4 linked regions of the Astyanax mexicanus genome follow. The protein of the gene in region 1 purifies or fractionates together with the protein of each later gene. This does not show direct contact. Links are inferred from orthologs where the notes say so. Each region holds a gene or a part of one and is shown in the gene's direction. Other genes may lie near its edges. The genes, in order: daxx, map3k5, baz1b and hipk2.

Region 1 (7,808 bases):
AAATTTTGATATAATAGGGATAAAATATAATAGGGTAAGATATAATAATATAGTATATATTTCTCCTTGCATAATCACAACTGAGTTGGTTGGCAGCATTGGAATACATAGAAAAACACATATAATTTAATTGAATTTCTATTATCAATCTCTTCCCTTTTCAGAGCCTCCGTCTCTTGGCATCTACCCATCCCCTCTTCCCATCTCCGCCCCTGGGCAGGTGGTGTCAGTGCACTGTGAGGCCTCTGGTTTTGCTCCTCTTTCTCTGGAGCTTGGCTGGGAGTTTACTGGAGCTGATGGTAAGAAGCGGTCCCTTGGACAGGGCAGTGTGTCGGGCCACAGGCAGGCATCTGATGGTACCTACAGCCAGAGCACTCGTATAGAGCTGGACTCCAGCAAGCTTGGGCTCGGACGTGGTGGTGAGGTCAGCTGCGTGGCCGATCACAAAGGAGGGTTTAGACGAGCTAGTGTGACACTGAATGTCGTTGGTGAGTGACAATGCCTTTTCGCTCATCATGCTGTCATTGCTGGGTAAAATTCTATGTGATAGTATTTGTCAGAAGCAAGATGTAATGACTTTGAATTTACTTACACATTTGTGAAATATTTTTTGTTGTTGTTTTTCAGGTGTTGGTGCTCCTTCCATAGAGGACTCTATGGCAATGGTTGCTGTAGCCCTTGTGCTTTATGGTGTAATAAAGGTGTTTTTCTGGACCTTCACATCTTCAGGTAAGCTACATTTTGTCTAAAAGTGCAAAGTGCAGTCCTTGCATGCATAATGTGTCCTACTAAAGAAGATTTAAATAGATGCTATACTGATAGAGGTTCAGGTAAAGTCAGTGTCTCTAAATACTTTTTTACTATTAACTGTGTTAGCATGCATTGTTTTTTCCATCCTTGGGGGTACTATTCAAAGCTAATTCTTTGTTTTTAATTCTCTACCAATGTCAGGGTCTTCCAAAGCACAAGAATCAGGGGATAAGGTAATTTCTGAGTTTTACACTACTTGATCTGTTTGATAATCATAAATATAGCACCCTTCATATAGCATGTATGACTGGCATGTATTAACTGGTTGTGTTTTTGTTTGTTTTTAGAAGGACAAGTAATCGCAGTGCTGAAAATGTCTTCCTGGATGTCTTGATTAGAACTTATGTTTATGCAGATGATGATAGAAGCCACAGTAAAAAAGTACACCATCTCTTTAAAATGATTATACTGATATTTTTGTGCTTGGTTCATGATCCAGATTGTGAATAAACACTGAGATAGTGTTGTGGTATTTTAAAATAATGGGAAAAGGTGTCTTTATGTCTTTTCTGAATTTTGTTTTATTTTATTTTTTTTGTTTCATTTAGACCTGTTTGGGTTTTATTGGTTGATGATTAATTAAGTAAATATATTGTAAGTTTTCTTTTCTTTTATCTTTTGAAATACCATGTCATGAATCCTCTGAAAATGACTGTATAAATTTTAATTTTTTTTTACCTGTTCATCGTTTATTTTAACCCCTGTTTGTTAATGTGTGTAAGAGCTGTGATGCACAAGTTGAAAATAAATGTGTGACTACTGGTGTATTCCAAGCTTCTGAAGTCTTACATGACTAAGTCATATGAAAACGAATTATTAAATGAATTATTATATGAATTATATGCACCCAGGGTAAATTTAAATAATTACTCTAAGTTTGTAGGCTTGTACCAAATGTCTCTTGTCACGTTTACTCAACTTCAGTATCAAAACATTTAAAAAAGTTTTACATCTAATATAGAACTAATTTTCAAATACATAGTATAAATAAATAAGCATGTTGCTCATCACCTAAGCAGTAATTGCTGACTTAAAATAAAATGTCCATTTTGTTTATTTGTTACTGTCCATCTTGGTTCTATTAACAATAGTGTATATAGCAGTAGTATGATGTAAGAGTTCTAGATTTTGGACACTGGATAAAAATCTTTTTAAAGATACTACAAGGACATCTATGCTGCTTGTCCCATTAAAAACACTGTGTTTGAAAGTGCAGCGGCACATTTTCAGCATTCTGTGTTAAAGCAGCTTCACACTGAACAGATATACGCACTGTAACACAGAATCTTCTCATGTGCCACGCATTTAACTTAAGAGTCTCTTAAATGGACAGTGTATACATTACTGAATACTGGACGTCACATATTTTACCCAGGCCATTTAAATGCTCATCCCCCATTGTGAGCATGTGTGTAATACCAAACACTTCCTGAGATTTTTAAACTACACAGAAATGTTTACAATAAAGTACACAAATTGGTTTTATCTCCCCTCAAACATACAAAAATATACTAGAAATTGACACCACTAATATACATATAATTGCATTTTATATTTCCTACATTCATTTCTTTATTTACATTTAAATATCCACTATAAAAATGTTATTCTTAAGAAGAACAAGTGCGATTAAAGACAGTTAATCCTGGAATATTGTTGTTATTAATCGAATTAAATTGTTTTGAAAGATTGACACCACTGAACTTAATACATAAAACTTTGATATGTTTTTTGCCATTCAGTTCACCTTCACTTTCATTTACTGAAGACTCACTCACAGGTGCCCCCTGGCGGTTTACAGTTATTTATAATTAAAACGAAGGAAACAGAAATAGGGGTGTCATATAAATATTGTCTATGATAATATCGTAATTGCTCCAGCATAACGTTATCGATTGTGCTAATTACTAGGGAAAACAATCAAAACACCTGTACTTCGCACATTTGCTATAGACTGATGCTGTCTTGTTTATTGGCATGGCTGAGCGCAGATACTAATCCAGCAAGCTACCTATCCAACTATCTGCTATTTACAACCACATTTTCTTTTTCTTCAACAGAGTCACTGTGCTAAAGACTCTCTCTCATTTCTCACACCCGATCTCTCACTCTCATAAGTACTTATTTAAAAAAGTCTGCCAGACCTAACCCACTGCACTGTTACTTTACTTTCTTCCACTCAAAAATATGGGCAAGTATAAATATTGATTTTAATTATGATTAATCATAGAATACTGTGGTGATTAATACATTTTTTTAGATGAGTTACACCACTGATATAAATATAATAAAATTTTGCCAATCAAATGCTAATTCGTTTAATTACATTTAAATACCTATAAAATGAGGGGTTCACTAAACCCCCGGAATTGAGCTGACTCCACCCTCGGCTCAAATTAGTAAAATGGGAGGGGTAGTTTGGGAGGGGTACTGGGTGATTTATGGGTTTAGAGGCAGGGCAGGAGGGTGAGCTGATTGGCTGAGCTGCAGCAGCAGTGTTCCTCTGATAGTGGTGAGACCCAGATGGAGCGGTATAATTAATTGTCTTATCTGCTTATTGTGATTGTTTGCATACCAAAGTACATGGAAACATCATCTTTGCCAATAGCACAGTTGAACCTGAGAGGGTACTGCAGACACGGAAATGGCCGCAATAAAAGCGCTTTTTTTTTTTTTAAGTTTTTAAGTTTTAAGGTTTATAAAAAAATAAGAATTACTTCAACTGAACACATTTCAGCTAGTAATAGAAAAATGGTTTACGGTTTAGTGCCTCTTTAAGGAAATTTGATAGGCCACATGGTTTACACACGTGCACTGTGTGATATTTGAAATAAAAAAGTAAATAAAAAAATGCCTTAAACATATTGTTTCCGTTCATATATTTAGTAAAGCAATTACATAATTATTATTATCCTTTAAGATGTGCAGGCTAGTACATTATATTACTTTTACAAACTCATTTTAAAAAATTGCAAAATATTGTTTAAATTACAGATCGTTAAAATTACAGAGATTATCGAGATATGTGTACTTTTGTTAACATCGGTCACCCATAGATAGGCAGCGTGCAGGCTTTCCGTAACAGGTGTAGAACAGGTGTTCTGTCGAGTTATGATACCCATCCATACGTGTTTCCTAAAGGCACTACGCACGCGCTTACCCACGCGTTTTGATTCTTTCTTGTGTTTTTTTTTTATATAACAAATCTTTTTTGTGCATTTTTTGCGCATGAAACCACTTGGACTCACTGTCATTGCACGAAAGTGTAAATGGAAATTGATAATAATAAATACTATAATTATTATTGTATTATTGAATTAATTATTATTATAAAAAAATACAAAAGAATTTTGAAATGAGCACTCACTGCCATATCTTTACCATGATACGGTGATTTATTCTAAATATACTAGCTACATCTACTGGGTAGATACTTCTGCTGGATACTTCTGCTTCTTTTGTATTTTTACGGTTAAAATATACGCTAGGGTAGCGCGGTTTGGCAAGGCGGCACAACTCGACAGAACACCGGCTCTGACTCCTCCGCTCCAGATGGGGCGACAGTGAGGAGCAAGTCCCGCTGAACGCGGAGGAAAACCGGCTGAAGAAAACTGGAGCAGCCAATCCCGTAGGAGCGGAGCGGCGCGGACCGAACCGCGGGGGCCCGTTGTTCACGAGTGCGCGCGGTGTTGCCATGATGGTTTTTAGGCGGAATTTTCTACAGGAATAAATACTGAATTAAGAACCTCCATCGGATAAAGCTGCGTGAAACGAGAACGCTCGTCAGGAAAGCAAGAAAAAAGAGCAGTGTTCAGTGGAGGGTCTGTGTTACTGCGCGGTTTCTGTAACTCCTCTAAGAGTCAGTTATTTTTGCTTGTCTGAAGGCGGGATTTGTCACAAAGACCTGGCAACCTAGCGAGTTGTTAAATACAGCAGAATCGAGCGCGTAAGTTGCCTTCTTGTTCCAGCGTGTTCACTATGAGTATAATGTGTGTTTATGGGTGGTGAGGACCGGCTGTATGGCTTTTAATATACCGTATAATATCCGCCAACAGTGTAGTTTACTGATTAGTTATCAACTAGGAGTAACGTTAAGTGTGAGGGTTTTAAACAGACAGGAGGTTAGCCTGCTAGCTAACTATCAGCTAGCTAACTACAACGAGGAAGCTAACTAGCTAATGGAGACACCAACGCCAGTTTAAACAGCTTCCTTTTACTATTTAGCGTTAACCTAGCGTTATAATAGAGACGTAGCTGAGGCAGTAAGTGCCACGTACTCATGTTTAGCCTAAATTACATGGTGAAGTTAATTGGCTGTCTCAGTTTATTCCCTATTATATAGTTTAAACTAGTTAGCGAAACTAGTTTAGCTGCGCGGGGCTCGTTCCTAGCTACCATTATTAGCTGTCTAGTTTTATAAGACTGAGTGAACCTTACTAAGTTAATTCTGTAACCTCAAAACGCCAAGAGTCACTAAGAGCACTTTTTATCGCTGTGTTCATCAAAATTCTAAAGGTGCAGTTATGTTATTTTGCCAAAATTTGGTAGTTAGTTGTTTAGTTAGCAAGGTTCGTTAACTAACTAAACTAGTTGGCTGTAGCTAGGTGTAACTTAAGTCTTTCTTGACGGAAATAACTATCAAGACTATTAATGTTAAACTTAAGGCACACCCTAGGTTAGCTAACTAGTTAAGGTATTTCGATCTTCTTAAAATCTAATATTATTAAGGGCTTGGGGTAATGACAGGAAAAACAGTAGCTCGGCCTTAAATGTGTTTCCAGCAGCATCAGAGTAAATTGTGTGTTAAGACTGAATATAAAAAGGAATGTATACTTTGTTTGAATCCAGTTCTAATGCTCCTATTTTTCTTACGCTGCTCAACAGTTTTCCTTACCTAACATGTCATTAACTGTGGTAGGTGTCACAAACACGATGGACAGCATTGTGATCCTCGATGATGATGAAGCCGAAGAACCTTCCACATCTACATTACGTCTTCAAAGGTTTCGAGGGTCCACTCCATCTAAAGACCAAGAGTTAAAGCCAACACACATCACACAGTCACCTTTCAGTACTGCAAAGAAGGAAGGCCATGTCCTGAAAGTAGAGAACGAGAAACTCTTTGGAGAGGTAGGTGTATGGGTTTAAGCTTGTTTTTTTGTTAAAGAATCAGACCTATAAATGTGAATTAGACATAAAAATGATTGCCACTGTTCAGTGAAACGAAACCAGTTTGAATAGGACTTATCAGTATTGAAGGTAATAAAATGTAATGACCTCAGAGCTGCTTTAATGGCCCATGGAATCTTTTCTTTTTTTCTCTTTTGTTATGTAGTTTAATTAACCTTTATCTACACCCTTGCTGTTTACATTTTAACTTTCTTAGTCTTTTGTACAGTTTTTTTTTTTTATCCAAAATGTTTGTTTAGTGCTCCTTTATAAAATTCTTATGATGAGGATTCAGCAATAATGCACAAAAGGGAGTGCTATAATGTGTTCTATTGGCCTGTTAGATCAGCACAGCGGTGCCAGTATTACATGTTCTAGCAAGAACGTGTATTATGCCAATTATACCACAGTTATGTTATCACTGTTTACTGAAAGACTGAGTTAGAGAGGATGAGAAAATATGATCTGTTTGGTTATAGACACTCAGAGTTAAAAGAGTTCCATTGCTGCTCTGTTTCTAGCTGTGCTGTTTGGCTTGTAAGCTCTGCATTGTTGCTAGGTTACCTGTATGTGGCGGAGTAATACATGGAGAGCCTCGGTGACAGTGCATTACCGGCTGATAATGGCACTCACAGAACACCTCTCAGCCCATCGCCAATAACATTGCAGGATCGGTGGTACTGTGGTACAATTCAATTTAGAGTATTGTAAACAACCCACACAATGTTTTTAATTTTCCTTTTTTAAATTTAATTAAAGTAATCTTTTTTGTTTTGTCTTTTAATACATTTAGAGACTCGATTAAGGATTTAAACACATTAAGTATATGTTTTAATTTGGAACAGCCTAGATATAAACAATAAAATAAATAATCAAATAAATTAAATCCATTAAATGAAAAAAATATGAGTAATAACATATGAAAATGCAATACTCTTAAGTAATAAAAATGTGCACCACAACAAAGTAACGATTGCAACAAAAAAGGCCTACTTTTTTGGGCTGCTATTAGGGGTTCTGTATGTTTTCGGTATTTATGGTGGAAAAAATAAAGAGGCTGGGCGTTCTGTATAGCCTCTCTTTTATTATGTTTGTGATAACAATGGAATTTCAATATAACCATGTTTTGTTTTTTGGGATGGAATGTTGTAACGGGTCTTGAGCACTTTTATTAAATGCTTGAAACCATGGTTCTCTCCTACTGTCATCAAGAGAGGCTCCAACTTTTGGATCTTGTTGGAACAAAAACAGCGTTACTTTAACTGCCTAAACTACAAATATTTTTCCTAAAGATGTTACTATAGAGAAAGAGAGATGGAGGAACCCCACAAATGAGAATGAGACAGATAACTAGTGGTTCAGAGACAGAGTGAGAGAGAGACAGTACGAGCCCCTGACCCTGCGTTCACACTGGAAAGCAACAGGCGACCATTCATTTCCTATGGCGGGGCATAATTTCAGCACAGCAATGGGTGCAACATTCCTGTGAACATTAGTTCCTTCTGTAGACTTTCTGCCTGTATCATGCAGTCTGCATGCGTTTATGCAAAATGAACTGTGACCCCGTACCATGATGGTTTACCGGGCTTAAACGGCAAAAGCTGTAGGGTAATTTACCACAGCATGACTTGGATAAAACTCGGATGTGAGAAATCCAAGAGCATGAAACCATGACAATTGAGTCCATGAAGTTTAGAATTTTAAATATTAAAGTTTACTGGAAAAATGATTTTAGCATTACAGATATAAAAAAGGAACATAAATGAATAGATACATTAGAAATTAGTAAAAGTACATCAAAAAGTCAACATATGGGCGTTGAGTGGTCC
Region 2 (7,144 bases), on another chromosome or scaffold:
TGGACACGGCCGCGCGGATGATGTGCGACTCGGCCGAGTCGAAGCGGCTGAGGCAGGCTGCCGCCACGGGCCCGTGCTCCCGCTCTTCATCCTCCCCTACCTCCCCCTCATCATCCTCATCCTGCTCATCCTCCTGCTCGTGCTCGTAAGGCTGCTCCTCGTGCTGCAGCTGCTGGCGGAACTCCTCCAGCAGCTCCTCCACACCGCTGATCTTGCTCTTGAGGTCCGACAGCGGCGAGGAGACGGCGCGCGAGGCGCTCGAGCTCACCGGAAGCGCGGAGAGCACACAGCAGAGCAGCGGCGCGAGGACGCGCGTGACGATGTTTAGCCTCATGGTGCTGTCGGGGAAAGAACGCTCGCTGTCCTTCTCATTACCATCAGCATCGTCTCCGCGCGTACCAGCCCATATTCCCTCTCTTTTTCACTCTCCTCTTATGCCCTTATCTCTCTCTATTTATCCCCCTATCTATCTATCTCTCTCCCACTCACACTCACTGGCTCGCTCGCTCAGTTCAGCAGGTGCTCGAGCTCGCCTCTGGTCCTCGGGGGACGGAGGATGCTAGAGTGAGGCGAGCAAGCGCATGCGCACTGAAATTGGGAGTCCGAATGAGCGAGCGAAAAAAAGAGAGAGAGGGAGGTAGATGAAATCCTGACGTGACGTCCCGTTTTGTCTCGCGGTACCTGAAGGAGGCCGAGCCCTACAACAACAACACCCCCCCCCCCCCCACACACACACACAAAAGTGCACGTTGACGTCATGCCAGATGCGAAGCCCATCCTTTGTTGTGCACTTCGATGGTGGTCTTATTTTTTTCCCACCCCTTTACGTACGCCCCCCCAGGGTTGTTTGGACTTCTGTCCTTCAAATAGTAGGGATGGCTGTTATGAAGTGCCTCATACACTGCAGTCAGAAGACTGTGTTCCAAACAGTGCCCTTCCCAGTAGAAAAAATAATTTAAAAAATAATTTAAAAAATAATTTTGGTGCTCTATAGGGTTCTCTTATAGGTGAGATAACAAGTAAACAATTAGGTGTTCACCAATTGTTGGCCATTATCTTGCTGCATGGTGAAGCATCTCCTAATTAATTTGGTTGCACCTTTCTTTAAATTGACAGACATGTTTCTACATCGATGAAGATTAATGAATCTGTCATGCAATATGCCCATATTGTTTCTGTCATCAACTGCTGTGGATTTCCTTAGTCTACCTGTTCGACATCTGTTACTTAATACACCAGTGACAACTTTTTTTGTTTAGGGCATTGCAAACTGTAGTACAGACTATAAACAATATTTGTATAATGGCTCTAATGTATTTTCCATCTGCTCTTAGCATTACAGTTGCTTGTTTTACTCAGGGACATGTTGTTACTCCTCTAACTATAAATGCACAGTCTTTACAGACAAAACCCAAATCTGAAACTGAGTGTAGACATTTATTGCTATTTATTTTGTAAATAATCAATGTATCAGGACACACCAGATCAAGAAATACAACTGACACCTGTCACACATTCCAATACTTTGACTTACAAGAAAATTTTGTGGGTTCAAAAGGTCTATTGTGTAAACTGTGTATCAGTGCCAAATGTAAACAACTGTAAATAAAAGCTGAAATGTTGATCTTTTTCTTTTTTTAAGAAGTATAATAAAAAAAAACTCAAATGTTTGCAGTGTACAGCAGAGATACATGGATTGGCCTCGCTCTTCTAATACATTTGGAGGGGACTGTATTTGCCATCACAATAAAATTAACTCTTTAATAGTAAAAAACAAAGTAATTTGTTGTCAGCTCATTCTCACTGTTAAACATTTAAAGTATACAGATTTTTTAAGAGCTGATGTGACCTCAAATCACGCAGTTGGTGTTTATTTATTTTATTGCTTTAATACAGTTTAGAGTCATTTATACAAATTAAATGATATGAGCAGGATTGAGACATTTTGTGAACAAGTAGCGCTTGAATATTTATTCATGAATATATAATAAAAAAAAAAAACATAATTTCTATTTACAGGTACTTTTTTCAGTTTTTAATTATTATAACAATGTCAAGGCAATGTCTAGTATATTGTATATCCTAAAATAGCAGCTTAAAAATCACTAAGCATAAAAAATTAACAAGACACTGCAATATGTAACTCTGGTGAAGTGGAGAGGACAATGTTCACAACAACTGTGTAATGCTGTGTAGCCTGAGCCATTGTTGCATAAAAGTCCACGTGATTCCATTCACTTTCTGGGATGGTTCTGCAGATCTTCTTGCAAAATGCATGTAAAAAGTGTGTGCTTTAGTGGTTGCTCAAAGCACAAATTGCACTTTACTGTAGGGGGAGACAAGAAGCGACAAGGTCAAGCAGCAACATAATGCTGCTTTAAACACCGTTTTGTTTATTTTCACAACAGTACTAGGTCAGCTCAGTGATAAAATTAGTGGCAACCAGGAATTGTCCTGCACTTCTTAAAAGTGTCACAACAGGTAATTTGAGCAATGGTAATTATGTTCAAGAACATTCACAATGTGTAGTTCATACATGCTTTAAGATTGCCATTATCATCCCTGTGATGAGGAAGTCCCCAGTGTCATATGTCAATGATTACTGTTTCATTGCTACCAACTGTTCAAGACATTGCATCCTGTCCACCATATCCCACCTAGTCCTCACCCTCCTGGAAAATGAAGACACATACTGTTCACTGACAGCATTCAACACTACCGTCTCTCAGCATCTGGCTGGAAAACTGAGTCTGCTGGGCCTGAACAACTCCCTGTGTAACTGGGTTCTGGATTTCCTGAAGTGACGTAAGGGCATCCCACTACAGAGGCATTAACCAGGCCATGCCACTAGAGGTGGCTGTGACTTCATTTGCAACAGAGAGTTTAATTCTTCTCTGCAGGATGCAGTGATACTTATTCTGGTCATTCTTAAGGGCTATTGTGTATACAGCTATTGTGCTACTACAGATAGTGGAGTGTATTTATTTAGTGATTTGTTGATGCTGTTTCCCCAGTCCTCAGTAGTCCTCATTGAGGACATCCCCTACGAAGAATCTATAGTCCTGTGGGTCCCAGTCCTTTTCCTGAAATCCTCATGCACTTATTTTTTTTCAAGCACACACATCTTAAGTATATGAGGGCCCCTTTATGTTATTACAAAGCGGGTAAACACACGAAAACATGCAGTGTCGGTTAGCAGTTGAAAAATACTAAGGGTTGTTAATTTGCATTGTCAAAAGAGGGCCACTAGAGGTCAGCATTATGACTTGACAATCGTCTTTCTGTAGAGAAAGTTTAGTTAAAGAAATTTGTTTTAAATCTCATGATGTTAAAAGAGCCTACCCTTGCTGAAACAGCAAAATGTGTAATGTGACAGTGCTGTATTTATTTATTTATTTTTTTTTTTAAACTTCTCCACGCAGTAGTTTGTTTAGTATTTAGTATGCCATGTCAAAGTTACCATCATGTAACATATAAACAGTCCCCTTCAAAAGTATTGGTGGAACAGTGAGGCTGATCCCCCTGTTTCTGCTGTAGACTGAAAACATTTGGGTTTGCCATTAAAATGTGAATATGAGACTAAAGATCAGCTTTTCAGCTTCTGTTTTCATGTATTTACATCTGGATCTGGTACACAGTTCAGAAGATAGCACCTTCTGTCTGAACCCACCAACTTTTTTCAATTATTTCAGTCTACAGCAGAAATAAATGGATTGACCTTGCACGTACCCCATAACTGTACTCTCTCTCTCTTAAAACATTGTCTTATTGTAACATGTACTCCACAGCCTTATAACAATTTACTGCATTAATCTTCTGCGATGTAGCTTTCGTAGGCAGTACATTCCACCAGTGTAAACAATTCTGAGCAGTACAACTTTCCTAGAATTCCTAGAATGACCCGTTTCAGCAGAACCTCCTCTGAATTAGTTCACATTTTAACCGTTTCATCACAAGAGACGCTTTTAAAAAGGCGGTGGAATTCCCCTTTATCCAGAACGTGAGTAATGTCCAACAGAAATCCCCCGTCACCTCCTCCATGTTCACTTTCGACCGCCTGACTCTTTAAAAGGCGTTCCCGGTATGCTAATACGCCCCGCCCCGTTTTCGCGTGAGTAGTGTGTGTGTGTGTGAGTTCTGGTGATGTGGAGGAGATAACAGTGGTGATAGGGCAGGGTCCGCACGAGCCCGCGAGCGAGCAGTCAGGCAGCGTGTGAGTGTGACTCGTTTTCGTGTTTGTTTTCGCAGCGCGATGAGCTGAGCTCGTGCAGCCTCGCGCGCCGGATCCGTCGAGCTGGTGTTGTGGTGAACATGGTCTCGCGCAGCGCGGATCGTCGAGGACTTCCCTCTCCTCCTCCTGCGGCTCTCCGACGCGTCGTGCGGCAACTTCAACTCCTCCGCGTCGTCGTGCTGCGCGGAGAGGCGCGCGGGCTCTCGGAGCCACGGCTCACCGAGAGCACTCACTTTTGAACGGACAAACAGCGCGCGCGCGCGTCGTGACTCGAGGCTGGAACGAGCGCGTGGCCGCTGACTTGACAGCAACAACAAACCGGCTGGGCAGCGGCGCTAGCGCTGCAGGACCATTTACCTACGTGTTTTTACATTTTTAACTAATTATTCACAACTTTTTTTAATGAATCTAGGATTTTCATCTTTTTTTTAACATCTGAGTGAAGAACAGAACAGTGATTTATTTCGTTATTATTATTTTATATATATTTTTTATTATTCTGCGCGGAGGAATGTCTAAAACTCGTTTGCAGAAGAAACTGGAACTGAAGTGACTGGAGGAGCGTTTTTACTGTTTTTCTTCTCTTTTCTTTTCCTCCTCCTCCGTAGAAGAAGAAGGGGAGGATGAACCCGGAGCCGGAGTGCGTCTCTCTGCCGGTTCCGTGTCGCGAGGACTGCTCGCGCCCCGCCGTGCCCGCCGCCGGCACCTTCTGGCAGGACGCGTCCTCGGCGGTGGCGGCGGCGGCGGCGGGGGTCATTGCGGGATGCCCCGCGGAGAGCGGACTCGGAGCCGGGCTCGGGGGGCTGCTTACACCGGGGAAGTGCAAAAACCGGCGGGCGAGTGTGGCTTACGTGCTGAACTCGGAGACGGGAGCCGAGAGCATGGCCCTGCAGTGCCTGCGGGACGCCTGCGAGGCCGTGGGCACCGCGCTCGAGATCGTGCTCTTCGGGAAGCTGGACTTCGGAGAGACGGCCGTACTCGACCGCTTTTACAACGCAGGTAGGTGCAGCGCTGTTTATCCCAGTTCTAAGGACTCGCTGTGAAGCTGATTCACACGCTGGTAGACTGAGAGTGAAACTGAGGAGGTGGGCTCACCAGTCTAAAGAACATAGATAGTGACAGACAGATATGTCTATTAGACAGTGAGCCAACAGTAGTAGAGTTTAGAGCAGTTCCCATTGGACAACCTTCACTATCTGGGAAAAAAAACACACTTTCTCTTGGTTATTCTAGTCAACCAGCATTGAGTAGTCATTCAGGTGGATTTGGGGTGAAATGCTTCAATCTACCCAATTGAAAAACATAGCCAACAGAACGGCTGATGTTGTTCAAGATTAGGATAGTTGCTCAGCTTAGCTCTTGACTAGTTTTGGTTAAAGTTTGATGAGTTTGGACTAAAGTGGGGCTGCAACTGTTGATTATCTTGGTAGTCAACTTTGTGATGATTATATTTTCGATTAGTCGATTAATCAACTATTATTTCTGTCATGTTCTCCATCTCTAAAAACAATAGAAACAGCTGAACATGAGATTTTAAAAGACATTTAAATGTCTAGATGCTTTTTAAATGTGGAAAGTACTAATATTTTGTGAGTAAATATGTAATCTCTAGTGTTTGGGCACTTTTGGAGTTGAGTGTAAACTGTGTGAGTGAGCCACTCAGTGAGCTACTCTTCTGTCTCCAGCACTTTGTGTAATGCAGGACTGTTACAAATGAACGATTAGTTGACAATTAAATTTGTAGTCGATGCATTTAAATAATCGACATTGACGATTATATCGACTTATTGTTGCAGCCCTAGACTAAAGCATGATCAACCTGACCAAGCTAAACCACCACTCTGACCAATCTTGACCATGCTGATGGACCGCATAATCAGCATCACCATGCTGGTTGACCAGCATAACCATCATGACCAAGCATGTTGGACAGCATTACCAACATCACCTAAGCTGGGCTGACCAGCATAATAAACATCATCAAGCTGGTTGACCAGCCCCACCACTTAATCAGCATCACCAGTTTGGATGGCCAGCATGACCAACATTGCTTAACTGGTCGACCACTATGATCAGCATGCCCAGAAAAACCATGCTTGGCCAAGAAAAACCAACATGACCAAGCCATGACCTAACTCAGAAACAGCATACGCAGTGTTGGTCAGAAGGTGGCTGACCAGCTAGCTTCCCAGCATAGGTTAATTATATATCTGGAAGACCAGGCTTCTAACCACCTTAACCATTACCTCAGCTAGAAGCAAATGCTGGTCTTGAGCTGGATTTTTCAGCAGGGTGGAGTAACTTACCAAAACATACAATAGAGGTGACTGGAACCAATGGTCACCATGACTTTAACACACAAATTGCCATTTAATCAACTATCTACAGTGTTTGGTGCACCTAAATTGGTGTACTTGGTGTACTTTTGTTAACACACTTTTTTTTAGCTCTCTGGATAAAAAATGCATTGACTGTTATAAAATAATGCTACAGGCATATTCAAAACCAAAGGTACGGTGGTGCTTGGAAGTTTGTGAAAGTTTGTGCTTAATACTGGATCCATTTTCTTAATAAATAAATGGGCAAGTTTTGTAATTTTTCATTTGTTGCCTTTGAGTTGATTTTTCTTATGTGCTAGGATTTGTGAAAATTTGTTTTATGTCAAATTTATGCAGAAGTATCAGAAAATCTCAAACAGTTCATAAACCTTCAATCACCAATATATCTGTAGTTGTTTCTGTCACCCAGTTTCAAATATGTTTGCTCTTGCAGAAACAAAAATCCTGCAAAACACAAGACATTTATCAGAAGTTAAACAAACCTAACAAGAAGTGGGTAGTTCTGTATAAAAGTACACACTAAGCAAATGTGGTTAATCCTGAAAGTGCAAGTAAAATTACTTTGAGGACATGG
Region 3 (7,080 bases), on another chromosome or scaffold:
CACTCATTTCTATACTGCTGTAACTTTTCTTTAAAAATTATAAATCTTGTGTGCAATTAAAAAGAGAAATTAATTAAGAGGCGTTGAAAGGAGAAACGCTACTCTCTTCAGCTATACGCACGAGTTAAGGAAACACTTAACAAATTCTTAGCGTTACCAAGCTTTCGGGAAACCCACCCTTGTTCTGTTTCCTAGATGTTTATATTTATTAACTATCAAACATTAAATACACAGAGATTACTTGCCACAGCTCTCTAAGGAGTTATTCACAAATATTTGTTCCTATGTATAAATAAAAAGACAATAAAATGTAAAATGTAAGTAAATATATTTCTATAGAGTTGTTCCTATGTATCTAATTGCTAATGTAACAGTTTGGAATAAGATGTGCAATATTTTCTGTCATTTGTATGCATTATACTGATAATTCACCCTTTAAAATATCGTTTTTTGGGGGGGTTTTCTACGGTGGCCGAGAAATCCCAGCGCAGTGCAAACTGAAAAGTGCTGCAAAAGCACAAAACACATCCATCAAAATTACAACACAGGCGCAGCAAATAGAAAAACGCGCTGCAAAAAGAAAAACGCGCTGCAAATAGAAAAACGCGCTGCAAATACAACCACAACACAACGGAAGTGAGTCACAACACAACGGAATTTTCCCGGGGGACCTTAAAAGATGCTGTATTAGCTGTATACAAAGGACAATAAGTGGCAAACAAGCTTCTGAAAAGTAAGTTATGTTTATTAAAAGTTCTGCTTCACAAAACGCCTTGTTTGCCACTTATTGTCCTTTGTACACATAGTGAAGTCCGAGACGTTACTGAAGACGCAGCTTAGCTGGTACAGTACCTGGTACAGGTCCCCAGGGAAAATTCCGTTGTGTTGTGACTCACTTCCGTTGTGTTGTGGTTCTATGTGCAGCGCGTTTTTCTATTTGCAGCGCGTTTTTCTAGTTGCAGCGCGTTTTTCTAGTTGCTGCGCCTGTGTTGTAATTTTGATGGATGTGTTTTGTGCTTTTGCAGCGCGTTTTTCTTTTTGCACTGCGTTGGGCTTTCTCGGCCACCGTAGTTTTCAGCATGCGCAGGGCCGGTTTGGAAAAACCTGGAGGAGAAAGAAATGGGTCTTTGGAATGATGGGAGTCAAAGACAAAAGACGGAGAGTTAAGGCAGGAAGTAGCATAATCAGTGATGAGTGGAGGGCATACAGGGTTGTGTTGAGAAACTTTGGGTACAAACACTATACCACAAACCATATCAGGGGGTTTGTGGATCCTCGGTCCGGTAGCCACACACAACATATTGAAAGAGCTTGGGGGATCATCAAAGGACATATCTGTAGACTAAGAGGAAATCATACAGAGACTTTGTTGAAGGAGCACCTCATGGTACTTGAATGGTCATCCTGGCTTGGATCTCTTAACCCTGATGGGCCACTTGGACGCCTGTTAAAGAATATTCAAAAAGCCTTTCCAGTATGAATTTCATGATCTATTTTCAAGTGCTCTAATTATCATTCAGCAACGACTGTTTTAATGTCTGAATCAGTGGGACTTTTATTATGAAAAGTGATTATTATGATTATTATGAAAAGTGTGCTTTGCATGAATGAAAATGTTTGGTTGTTTCTGTTGTAACTAGGTTTATATTTCATGTGACAAAATCATATTAGCTGTGTAAAGGTTTGTAAGTCATGAATAAATAGTGAAGTGTTTTACAGTTTAAAACAAGGCTCCTATCTGGTGTTTATAAGTGTTTGTAACTCATTAATACATAGTGAAGTTATTTATACTTTAAAATAAGGCTCCCTTTTGGTGGTTATAAAGGTTTTTAACTGATTAACACATAGTGAAATGTTTTACACTTTAAAATAAGGCTCCTATTTAGTGGTTATAAGTGTCTAAAACTCATTAATAAATAGTGAAGTGTTTTACACTTTACAATAAGGCTCCCTTTTAGTTGTTATAAGTGTTTGTAACTCATTAACAAATAGTGAAGTGTTTTACACTTTAAAATAAGGCTTCTATTTAGTGATGATAAGTGTTTTTAACTCATTAATAAATAATGAAGTGTTTTACACTTTAAAATAAGGCTCCTATTTAGTGATCATAAAGTGTTTGTAACTCATTAACAAATAGTGAAGTGTTTTACACTTTAAATAAGGCTCCTATTTAGTGGTTATAAGTGTTTGTAACTCATTAACAAATACTCATCGACAATTTAAAAATCTGAATCTGCAAAAGCAAAATGGAAAACTACATGCTGGGAGCTGCAGTAATTACTTGCAGTGAAATTGCCTGCAGCAGACCAGTAAAGGAAGGTTACATCTGGAATGCTGTCCTAAAGAAGATGCCACTCAACCTTAAGGATCACAACAGTACTTTTATGTTCTTTGAACATTAGCACCTGGCAGCATTATATCAATATCTGTGACAACCCCAAGGACGATTTTAGATAGTATGCAGAAAATGTAAAGGTAAGGGTAAATATAGCTAAACCCTTAGATGTCAGTTTTATTATTTCATATGACAATATACACCACATTATTATAAATGACTAAAGGAGTTAGTGGTGGAATGATTAAACTCGGAAGTTAAATGGTTAAACTGATGTTGACTGATGGAGGATATGGAGATGGAGAAGCAATATGAGTTAGATGGAGAAGACAAAGTAAGTTGAGTATATGACAATATCTGAAGTTTAACAATATAGACGGCTGTGGGTTCACTATTTGGCAAACAACAGGTTATTGTTGCCCTTTCTACGCATGTGTTATAACTGATTATTAATTAATTGTAAGGCATTTACAACCAAAATATTAACCTTTAATCAACTAATTGGAAACCATTTATAAACCCTTTATAAATGTAGTCTTATTTTAAAGTGGTACCAAACTTTTACTGTGCGGAATAGAGAGGCCTTGTGTCAATCATATCTAGAAGCGGCGTTGACTAGCCATATTGGACTACATATCCTTAATGGATTTCTGAATAGTCATTGAATAGTATGTTACCATTGACATATCTCTCTTTTTTCGTACACTTTACTACTTACAGATATAATTATTTACTATTATCATTATAAAAGATATTGTCATTAATGTACATAATGTATATGTATGTATATTGTCATAAATGTATATAATACATACTTATATAATACCTAAGATACCAGCTGTCAGATTACGATGTTGCAATGTATTGCAATGCGTTTTTCTTCCGGTCAAGAGTGATAGACAGCCAAGAGAGCCAATGAGATCCCTACATTGCGGGCGCGGTATTTGGGTAGCCAATAAGATCTGGTGGTGGGCGGACCTAATAGACGCTAGTTGCTTGTTGCCGGTGTAACTTTTTAAGGGTTAAACGGAAAATTAGAACTGATACATGAAACAAAAATGTATACTGCTGAACATAAACTACATATTCTGACAGCATTACAGGACCGTTTGTGACTTTGTTCATGTGTTTGTTCATCTGAGCGTAGAAGTGCTGAAGATAAAACTATTAAAGCTAATGATATAAAGCTCCTATTAAAAGTGTATTTTTGCTTTAACAGGTCTGTTCCAAATACTTTAACAATTCAAATACTTAAATTAAATGTTTTGCATAAAATATAACTAGTTCTGATATAATTACTAGCACAAAATACAAGCTATGAAATAACTGATGTGTTATTTATCAAATAATTGATGTGTTATTTATCAGGATTATACAATATTACAATGTTTACAGCCATGTGCCCACAAAAAAACATCAACCATGAATGAGCTGCTCACTGAATTTGGCTGATTCAATTTTGAATTTGGTATAAATATTTAGAAATTGGTGTGGACTCTTATAGGTTAAGATAATTAAATAAATAAAATCTAACTTATAAGTATGGTTATTTACAAAATGTAAAATAATTAAAGATAAACTTAGATTCAGGTTTAAGAGTATGATGTTGCGATCTAAAACACATATCCGACTAGTCAAGGCATAGACGGTGGTGTGATAGACAGCTAGGCGAACCAATGGGATCCCTCCGCTCCGGGCGCGGTATTTGATTAGCCAATGGGTATGGGGGGTGGGCGGACCGGAGCGACACGACGCCGCTTGCTGCCGGGGTAACGGAGTTTTTGGGGTCGAGCGGAATGTTGCCGGTGGAGTAGCTCTCCCGCCATTTTTCAACCAGACTTATTTGTTCTTGGACGGGAATTCCGTCTGTTCGCGGACCGGAGCGCGGCGCGGGTCTTTACAGAGCGGAGTAAAAGTAGTTAGATAACTAGCTCAGCGTTCGTCATCTGCGGGAAGGCGGCCAGGAGGCATTGTGGGACGGCGGACGGCTCAGAAAGCGCGCCATACGCCCCCGGACGGCTCCTCTGTTTTCCCGCGAGTCTCTGTGTCTCAGCAGCCCGGCTTCAGGAGTTTCCCCTCCACAGGAGGAGGGTCTGCTGAAAACCGCTTGCTTCTTTACCTCCACAGGGCTGGACGCGTTGAAGCGGCCCGCTGGATATGCTGCAGCGGGCTTGTTTAATCGGTGTCTGGCGGTAAAGCGGCTTCTTCTAACCCCGAACTCCAGCTAGCTATTGTTTTTCTCCTAGAAGCTGCAGCAACAGCAGCTAGCGTAGCCTAGCCTAACCTAGCTTAGCCTGATGCTAGCTCCGCTTTGAATGTCGGCGGTGGAAACGCGGGGACAGGCGCTTTGCGGTCCCGCTTGATTCAGCAGGAGTTACGCAGCGGCTAATGGTCGGGTTCGTGTTGTTTAAGCCGAGATTCAGCGCTAGAAGGAGTTCGGACTGATCCTCCGCCGTCTGTAAGCGAGCGATGGCACCGCTGCTGGGCCGGAAACCCTACCCGCTGGTGAAGCCGCTGGCCGAGCCGGCGGGCCCCGGCGAGGAGGTCTACATCATCGAGCACACTAAGGAGGCCTTCAGGAACAAAGAGTATCCTTTCTGCGGTCAGAGCGCTCTACCTAGCCCGCCGCCCCCCGGCTCTCCGCACGGAGGAGCGGGCAGCACGCCAGGGAGGACCATAAATATGACCAGAAAGCTGATAATATAATCAGACCGCGCTGTGTTTATTTTTACTGCCCTTGTTTATTTGTTTGTTTCACTGCTTAGCAGCGTTACTTAACCTAGCTTAAACTGAGTGAAGCTGTCTCGGCTAAGCTAACCGGTGTTGTGCCGGATTGTGCCATCAACGTCAAAGCGTGTTACCTGCCATAGTGTATATATACATTTATCTGTTAGTTAAAGCAGTCTGTTAAGTGGCCATGTGTCGATAAGCAGAAAGCATTATTAACTATATCTATGGCAAGCCTTAACTTCGTAAAATCTCAAACAAAAATGAAATCTTTAGTAGTAGAATATCAGATCTACAAATGTATAAAAAACAATCACTACTTTTACTATTATGCAATGTTATTTTAAATATCTGGCTACACTGTAAGGTCGATTAGATAAAAATAAATAGATCTGAAGATCTCAAATTAGTACTATTAAAAATGTATAACTGATACGTGAAATAGGAGTTTCTACAAGTAAAAGCTTAATTGCAGAGATCTGGTACAAGTAAAAACGAAAAAAGTCTGGACGTGTAAATTTACGCTATAGAACGCAGAATATTTGCCATAGAAAGCACAATATCACAAATCTTAATCTTACAGCAGAAACAAAATATTTTATATATCACGTAATTATTTGTGTCCGTTTTAACGTTAGGTAATTGGTGTGAAAATGAAATATGTGGTTTCCTGTGGACATTTTTGTCCTATTTAAACTGTAACATTGAGCTCAGATTGTACAACACACTTGGAGAAACAGAAGTATTAGTAAGGACACTTGAAAACATTACGTATGCTCTCCGCGCATGCGCAGGGCCGCTAAGTAGCACACGTTGATGGGTAGTAGAACTCGGCAGCACACCGGCTAAGACGCTAATGACACCGAGAGCTGGCATTATTTCAGGAGGTCGGGTGTTTAGAGGGATTATGGAGGTAATGATCCTGCAGGCGGGGCTCAGGCCCGGCGGGGTCAGGTACTGCCGCTCCTGCGGTTCCGTTTTGGGCGAGTTAGCGGGCCAGTGTCAACGAGCTAGCGGCCGCGGCGCTCCGTGCTAACGCGCGTCACACGCCGGTCTGCCATGACCCGAACCTGTGGGGCTCCCCGGCTAACGCGCACGCGCGCACACGCTTACTCTTTTACTCTCATACACTCTAAGCTAGTTCCTTTTTTATTTAAATTATTTAGACCCACATGTTCTTACAACATCAGTGATGAAACAAACACATGAAGGAGATTAACTAGCCATTTTTGTTGCATCGAATTAATTGTATAAATCTATGGATAGATACCTAGTTTATTGATCCAGCAGGAAATGTCTCATCTAGTAACAAAAAATACAATTGGATGGTAAAAATATTGTATAACGATATTTAAAGACAATTTCACGATACACAGTATTTATTGCAATGTTTCTCATGCAGACAAAATGCATTAATAGTAGCAGATTCTTAAGATTTTCCTGACTGAAAATGTATAGTTGGGTCAGGGTTGTTCAGGCACTGATGATATCCTCGACATGCTAGAAAGGATATTGTCAATATGTCACGTGAAAATGTGTCACAATATATTAACATAAAATGTCATTGCCGAGCTCTGCAGCACAGTTACAGTTCACACAGTCCATAAATAAATATGCGTAGGCTGCAAAAAAACTTGCTTTAACGTAATATACAGGTGCTGGTCAACGAATTAGAATAATTTGAAATAGTGCAATCATGAAATTCTTTGAATGCATTTTTTGTGCAGAAAGCAAATCAGGTGTTCACTGCACCTGTCCTACTCGTTAGACTAATCACAGAACTCGTTACCTGGAAAAAAATTTGCTCAGCTGAGCTTTCCAAAAGGCCCATTTAGGCCATTTAACTGTGACACTGTTGTTTTATTGAATTAGAATAATGGAGAAACTGTTTCATTGAATTAGAATAAATGCTCGAATTTTTGTTTTCTGTGAAGAGTGTTCACTGTGCAGTATAAAGTCAGGGTTGAGTAGAATTTCTAAGTTGTAAAATCAATCATGGGTAAGCAGCGCGACCTCTC
Region 4 (7,238 bases), on another chromosome or scaffold:
CCTACTAGAAACTTAAAAAATTCCAAAAAAATCCACCATCCGAGTTAAAACCATATGCAGGTCCAGCCAAGCTAAACAAACAAACAAACAAACAAACAAACAAACAAACATTTCCTACAAAACCTTGTTCCCTTGCCAAACACAGAATACATGGAACTATTTACTGAGTTGGAAAAAGTATACATCTCTAATGATTGTAAAATAAATACCCTGAGTTCACCTCTACATTCACTGTACCAGACTAAACTTTGGTCACAAAGTCACAAAACTTATTATTATTATTTTTTTCATAATTAAAAAAAATCTGCATTGTAGATTAATACTAAGGTCATCCAAATTATGAAAAAAAAACACATGTAATTATTTAGTAAACAACAACAAAGTAGTACCACTTGCTTAGATGACAGCTTTTGATATATTGGCATTTTTTAAATCATTTTTATGAGGAAGAATCATCTTGATTGGCTTTCATGTAACAGCTGTGCTTGTAACTTGTCAAGAGTTAATTACATGAATTTCTTGACTCTTAATGAGTTTGAGAGCATCAGTGTTAACGCTGTGAAAAGGTAGAGTTGGTATACAGTGAATAGCTCTATTTGAATAATGTTCTAATCCATATCATGGCAAGAACTACTAAACTAAGTAAAGAAAAACATATTTTAAAGAATGAAGGTCAGTAAATCTGAAAAAAATTCAAGAATTTTGATTTGAACCTTTGAAAGCAGTCGCAAAGACTATCAAAATCTTTATGAAACAAAAACAAATTATCTTCAGGACCGGCCCAGGAAGGGAAGACCAGGAGTTACCTCTGTTCATCAGAGTTACCACCAGCCTCAGAAACCACAAGTTAACAGCACCCCGGATAAGAGCCACCTAAACGCTTCACAAAGTATTTTTCTACATGACTTTTTATGTGTTCCTTCATAGTCTGGATGACTTCAGTAGTAATTTACAATGTAGGAACATTGTGTCCTATCTTTTGACTTGTGTGGTCATTTAACATGTTATACTACCAAACCTATTAAGAAATCTACTAATAATAACGTTCCAGTGAAAGCTGCTGTGAAAGTTTTGCAAAACAGTAAATGCATGTATTTAAATGAAGGTAGATGAAGTGAAACAGCACTATAATGATGAGCGCTGGGCACTAAGGAGTTAACAAAAACTTCAGATATTGCACGTCTTTTGCTCATGAAGTACTGTGGGCTTTATCAGAGTCTAGAAAAATTCATTAAGTTCTCCTTTGAGGGAGCCACATGGTGACTGTGAAAGGCCTAGTGAGATCTGAAAGGATATCTAGGCACAGTGACAGGGGGAGATGACTGGAATTTAATTTAGGGCAACCAAAAATGACTCACAAAAAGACACTAAAATTCAAATTTATAGAACACTGTCGTTTATGTGGCTACCTATAAAAAGCACAAAATGCTTAAACTAGGATGGTTTCTTTATTGATGGATATCATTGATCACACTTGATTCGAATGTTATAGTTTTTTTATGTAGTATAATATTGTTTTAGAGGGATCCTTAAAAAATCTGGTACTTTATAGTACAACCCCCAAGTCCAAAACATTTAGGCATTGGGTAAAAAAACAAAAACAAAGAAAGAAAAACAAAATATATGCAATGAACTGTTGTGAGCGATGTTTTTCTTTTCCTAATACAGCTTTAACTTGCATTTGTTGATTATACAGTGAAGTGTGTTTACAAACAATGATTTGTAGAATTGATCCTGAGCCAACGCAATGATTTTCAGTAAAGAATCATGCCTGTTTTCATGCAGTACTGCCCAAGAGCCTTAAGATCATCAGCATGTTCTTTTGTAGGTTTGCATTCTCTTTTTATTACCATTATTTTTGTGCATTGGCTTTGTATATTATAGATATTACTAATAAGAGTAATTATTTACCATGTAGATGCATAAACAGTATGAACATACAAATCCCTGCATTACTGACTAAAGCTGTTTATGAGTCATTAGACTAAAGCTGTTTATGAGTCATTATACTCAACCAAGTTTCCCATCACCTAACCAAAGTGTCTATTTAAATCAAGCTTTAAAACCTAAATGAATGCGGTTATGAATTAACCGCATTCATTAACCATTCATAACCTCATTCATTTATTAACACCACAGAACCACAGCGCAGAACAGCCTAAGCTGATGCTACAGAGCTCAGTAACGTGTTAACATATTGTACATTTTCAGTTTGAGTGAAATGCAGGCCTGTCTGTGGAGCTGTATATGATTAGGCAGATCATTCTCAGCTGTGAACCTTCACTCACACTCACATTCACAGACACACATATAACCTAACAATGGCTAGCTTTAAACTTCCAGTCACGCGTTTTGCCACTCTCCAGCATCCCGTGCCAGTTGTGCAACGGGACAGCTAAAATAAAGCCTTTCTAGACCTGCAGTTCAGTTTTCTTCTGCTCAGGTCAACCCGGGTAGCGAGGCCACAGTGACTAACATATCACAGAGACAGATATTTGAGTATAAACTTTAAAACGCTCACCTCTTTTCCTGTTAGCCCACTGTGCTGTTTGTTGACAAGTACGCGCTTCTGGGTAATGTAGTTTTACAGGTTGCATAAGAACTACAAGTTGACACTGCGCTCTGGTATTTGTAGTTCAGTCGAATTTGACGATTTATTTTATGTTCATTTTTATTTTTCATCATTTTTGAAATAGAAAGGGTAGAATACTGTTGTTTTTTGCCTCTGTTATATTTCAAATATAATAAATATAAATTACAAACAATACTTTAAAAACAAAGAAATTCCAAAACTTCACAAAATAAATTGTTTTGTAGACACCTTTCATACACAACAGTCATTCAAAGTGCTTTACAAATTAGAATACAAAGAGAAAAACATGTAAGAGAATAACGGTTAAAAATGAAAATGAAAAATAATAATAATATAGCATGAATAAAATGGATTCAGACACGATTAAAACACACATATATAAATAATTTTGCATTACATTCATCTAATAATTTCCCCGTAAGTTTTTATTATAATGAATACTATAAAAGTTTCTATTGTTTTTGTTATCTGATAAAAATAAATCTGTACAATTGTATCTGTAAATTTGTAAAATGTAAATTGTATTCTAATTGTATTATTCATTTTAATATAAGAGATGTTATTTTCTGTTTTTTTTTTTCTTTGTTATTTGGTGCTTTGTACTATATGTAATATAATGTATGATACAGCAGCATTTATTGTAAATGTTTGTGTATGTAAGTAGGAATGTGTATTTAAATATGTATTGGATATTTCGTTTGCGGTTGTTGTTAAATAAATAGATATGACGCTTTTTGTGTAGCGGTTGGTGGTAAATGACAGATTATTCCCATCTGTATGAGCTCTGTAATCCGATTCCGCCCCACTTCACTCTCAAATCCACTGGCGTCATTGGAGGATCTGATCCAGGCAGGAATAGCACAACCCAGAATCATCCTCCTCCCAGCCTGTGGATTAGCGAGGAGCATCTGTAGAGTCTGCAGCTGATGGCCTTTCTGTTTGCTCAATAAACATCTGCCACAGTGTTTACTAGTCTATTATTCATAAAGTACATGGTGAAAGAATATATTCATCCACAAAAAGCCTATAGAAAACTCTGTTCTGGGAGCTTATAAAAGTAACAATTAACTACAGCTAAGTGATAGTTTGGTTCTTTAGGACTGTAGTGAAAATTATTGATTAATTATAACCTAGGTAAGTATCGCTGCTTATTATTTTATTTTTTTACATAATTGCATATGGCAGATGTTCTGTGCATTATGTCAGAAAAGAAATAAAGACTTTTCCCATTAAAGGGGGGAGGGGTTTGCCTTACCATTTTGATATACAAGTTTTTTTGCGTGATAGCAATGCTATTTAGTGGGATGCTAATCCTAAAAGATAAATATTTGAGTAAAATCAATTCAGTTTTGAACAGTTCAAACAAACAATGGTTGGCTACTTCTCCGGTGTGGTGTTGAAATAAAAGAAGGATTGCAAATAGTAATTATTATTATTATTATTATTATTATTATTATTATTATTATTATTATTATTATTATTATTATTATTATTATTAAGGTTTTTAATCAATTCAGACGGTAAGACATGCAACATGTGTAAGTACCCCTTTATTATGAGATGCAGGGGGGCGTTACGTTTGTGATCGATGAGATAGTCGTTTGATTAGCTCGCAGGCTAGGCTAAACTCGCTCTGCTCTCTCACCATTGCAACTTTTGCAGCCACTCCACACACAGACATGCACACCGCGGGCTGAAGCCCAACCTGCTGTTCGGCTCAGCCTCGGAGCCGCTAAACTGCTCTCGTTTGGTTGGGCTTGAGTTGCCGACACCTCGCTGTGGAGCCTTTATAAAGAGCCGGAGCTGTGGATGTGATTTTCCCTCTTGTTTTCTCTATTTTCCCTTCCTGATGAACTGGGCTCGTAATGCAGGAGACAGCGGCGATTCTGTCAGCGGCGCAAGATGGCAGATTTTTATTGAGTTCTGAACTGAAATATCTCTTCATATTTTGCCATGAATAACAGAAACCCTTGCACCGATGGCCCCTGTATACGAAGGTAGGAAATGTTGTTTTTATTAAAGGGTATTTTTCTTTTTTGGAGAGGTGGTAATCAGCGTTTTTGAAGGTTTATTTCACTTATATAGCGCCGTGGGTCTATTCCAAACACGGCGCTCTTGTTTGGCAGCTATAACAGATTTACTACCTCATAATATTACACTTGGCATTAATAACATGTAGCTAAGAATATATTGGAGATGTTGGAGATCGCTAAGAAGCAGTTTAGTGAAGAAAAATTGGTCGCACTGTTATTATTTCATTTAATTTAACCATTAAAATACTAGATATAGCTGGTTAAAGCTTTGCGTGCAGAATCGCTTGGTTACCTTAGCTACTAAATAGGTAACGACTAGGTTAGCGAATTAGCTAGCTCGCTAGTTACTTAGGTTAGCTAGTTAGCTGGCTAACTATTTACTATATTACTAGTTAACTCGGAATAAATATCTTAATACCAGTTAATTTCTTCACCTACAAACTCAGAAGTGAGAATAGGTTGTATGGGTTCAAGAGCTTAGCTAATTAAGTGCAGTTCTGTTTGTATTGTTTATTTTTTAGGATGTTTTTACTCTGCCAAGGCTTTGTTTTTGGATATTTGTTGTTGTTTGAGGCAAACGTTCAAAATAGATAACAGCTAACCTAAGGGTAGTTACTTAACCTATGTTAACTAACCTAGAGTGTGAAAAGTGGATCTCCACAAATCAATCACTCTTTTAAAGGGTCTCTGCTGTAAATATACGCGTTATTCTCTGATATTGACCTCTTTAATCTCTTTAGAAAGTATTGCAATGTGTTGTAATTCAGAGTTTTACCTTAAACACACAGATATCTTTGTGATTTAATGCGTCAGTCAGTCATTTATTAGAAAGAAGTGCAGTCAGTGAGCGTCTTACTGCAGCAGCACCAACTAGCTCTGTATGGGCTATGGGTGACTAATCCCAGAGCAAAATGGCACACAGTGTTTAAGCAGCTCAGTACTATACTCTAACCAATGTTAGTTAAATATGTGTGTGTCCTGTGACTTAGTATGTGAGTGTTTATGTGTGTGTGTTATTGATCCAATAGGCTAGCTAGCTGTTATAGCGGTTATAGCTGCTGCTCATGCAGGCTGAGGTAACTGGCTGTCTTAATATTACGCTGTTCTTCAAACACACTGAGGTAGCTAGCTAAGGTGATTTTGGGCTGGCAAATAAGCCACAATGATTAGTAATGAGGATAATATTAACTTTTAACAGCTTATCTCAGCGTTTACAGGACATGTTTCTCATTGTTTAGACTGTACTGTTTGTATAGCACGGATTTAAGGAATGCTTTCCGTGTCCTGGCGTCCATAGAGACTTAAACCAGAAATAGCACTGCAATAGTACACCTAAATAATCCTCAAAGAGGTGTGAAATGCAGACGTTTCTGTTATAAAACGTTAGCTCGCCCTCCACTGTTCAAGTCGATATATTTGAACTGTCCGAAGTGTTTATTTTCGCTGTCAGTTAAAGATGGGAATCTTGATTGATTCCCCAACACCCCCTCTGCTGTTGGCAAAGAGAACTGCATCATGTCAGATCCAGGAGACCACCTTCCAGTTTTCAGGTTTTACCTTTTGTATTTGTAATCTGTACAACATAACACATGTTGTATTGTCACAAGACATGTGCATTAAACTCTTTAAAGGTGAAACAAAAAAAAGAAGGAAAGAAAATCAGCTGCTACCTTGCTGTTTTTGCTGCCTTGATTTTGTCATCGGCCTCTCACAGCACTGATGTATAATTAAAGCACGACTGCGATGTAGGGTGCCACTGTGTTGGACGTTGAAGCCCTGATGCAATAGAGTGATAGACTGATTAGAAGTCGCTGCTTTGAATTTGGAGACAATAAAGGGCACGGAGGCCGTCACCCTCTGACACTCTCATCACAGCCATCAGCGATCGAGACGCAGTGGCACTTTTACAGCGAGAGAAAGAGAGAATAAGAGTGTGTATGTGTGTGAGAGAGAAAGAGAGAGGGAGAGGGAGAGGGAAAAGGCCATGTAGTCATATAAAAAAACCCACTGGACTCATTTTACTTTAGAAATGATGAGCAGGTTTAGCTATGGGAATTGCCTGGACGGTGGAGTTAAAGCTTGCACTGAAACTGAAATTGGGCTCCTCAATTACAGGTAATTACTGTATATTGTGGTTCTCCGTTTGGCAAGACAAAGAGTAGATCTCTACCTGAGTAGAGCTTTACCTGTTTTGTAAGCAGGTATGTTATATAATGTTTTGGAATATGAATAGTTTCATTATTATGATTGGGAAAGCACTTCAGTTTTAGTTTCATTCTTAAGTAGTGGCATAAAGGAATGAGAGACATGTTTATATATATCTTTTACTGGAATTCACACAAACAGCCGTTAGTTAGGGATAGGCAGATGATTTGCTATATGATTGTTGGGCTAAATTATGTCATTATGTGCTTTTCTGGTTGTATCATTTCAGATATGATGCCCTCCTATGACTTTTGACATATCATTGACCATAAAAAAGTTTCAGCATAAAAACAAAAATGCAAACTAAAAAAAATATATATTATTTTTGTTTGGGATGGGTGAAGCGATTAACCTATGAAGAGGTGAAACCTACACATTAGGCAGCAAGTGGACAGTTTAAATTAAAT

The links.
Region 2: the proteins of daxx (region 1) and map3k5 purify together in Homo sapiens (affinity purification with western blotting; 7 studies listed by BioGRID and IntAct, with this or other methods). This does not show direct contact. The link is inferred for Astyanax mexicanus from reciprocal best matches to the Homo sapiens genes DAXX and MAP3K5.
Region 3: the proteins of daxx (region 1) and baz1b purify together in Homo sapiens (co-immunoprecipitation; 3 studies listed by BioGRID and IntAct, with this or other methods). This does not show direct contact. The link is inferred for Astyanax mexicanus from reciprocal best matches to the Homo sapiens genes DAXX and BAZ1B.
Region 4: the proteins of daxx (region 1) and hipk2 purify together in Homo sapiens (affinity purification with western blotting; 3 studies listed by BioGRID). This does not show direct contact. The link is inferred for Astyanax mexicanus from reciprocal best matches to the Homo sapiens genes DAXX and HIPK2.

The regions. Positions count from the first base shown.
Region 1 is NC_064410.1:22,184,472-22,192,279, forward strand, and holds the start of daxx (death domain-associated protein 6), read left to right. Parts: upstream 1-4,792; 5' UTR 4,793-4,807; coding exon 4,808-4,814; intron 4,815-5,728; coding exon 5,729-5,940; intron 5,941-7,808. Other genes in the region: tapbp.1 (TAP binding protein (tapasin), tandem duplicate 1), read left to right, coding at 165-488, 628-729, 952-983, 1,098-1,109. UniProt on the Homo sapiens protein: Transcription corepressor known to repress transcriptional potential of several sumoylated transcription factors. Down-regulates basal and activated transcription.
Region 2 is NC_064408.1:49,309,843-49,316,986, reverse strand, and holds the start of map3k5 (mitogen-activated protein kinase kinase kinase 5), read left to right. Parts: upstream 1-4,121; 5' UTR 4,122-4,854; coding exon 4,855-5,230; intron 5,231-7,144. Other genes in the region: lrp11 (low-density lipoprotein receptor-related protein 11), read right to left, coding at 1-334. UniProt on the Homo sapiens protein: Serine/threonine kinase which acts as an essential component of the MAP kinase signal transduction pathway. Plays an important role in the cascades of cellular responses evoked by changes in the environment.
Region 3 is NC_064416.1:32,016,986-32,024,065, forward strand, and holds the start of baz1b (tyrosine-protein kinase BAZ1B), read left to right. Parts: upstream 1-4,078; 5' UTR 4,079-4,804; coding exon 4,805-4,923; intron 4,924-7,080. UniProt on the Homo sapiens protein: Atypical tyrosine-protein kinase that plays a central role in chromatin remodeling and acts as a transcription regulator. Involved in DNA damage response by phosphorylating 'Tyr-142' of histone H2AX (H2AXY142ph).
Region 4 is NC_064416.1:17,790,285-17,797,522, forward strand, and holds the start of hipk2 (homeodomain-interacting protein kinase 2), read left to right. Parts: upstream 1-4,232; 5' UTR 4,233-4,571; coding exon 4,572-4,590; intron 4,591-7,238. Other genes in the region: tbxas1 (thromboxane-A synthase), read right to left, coding at 2,522-2,597.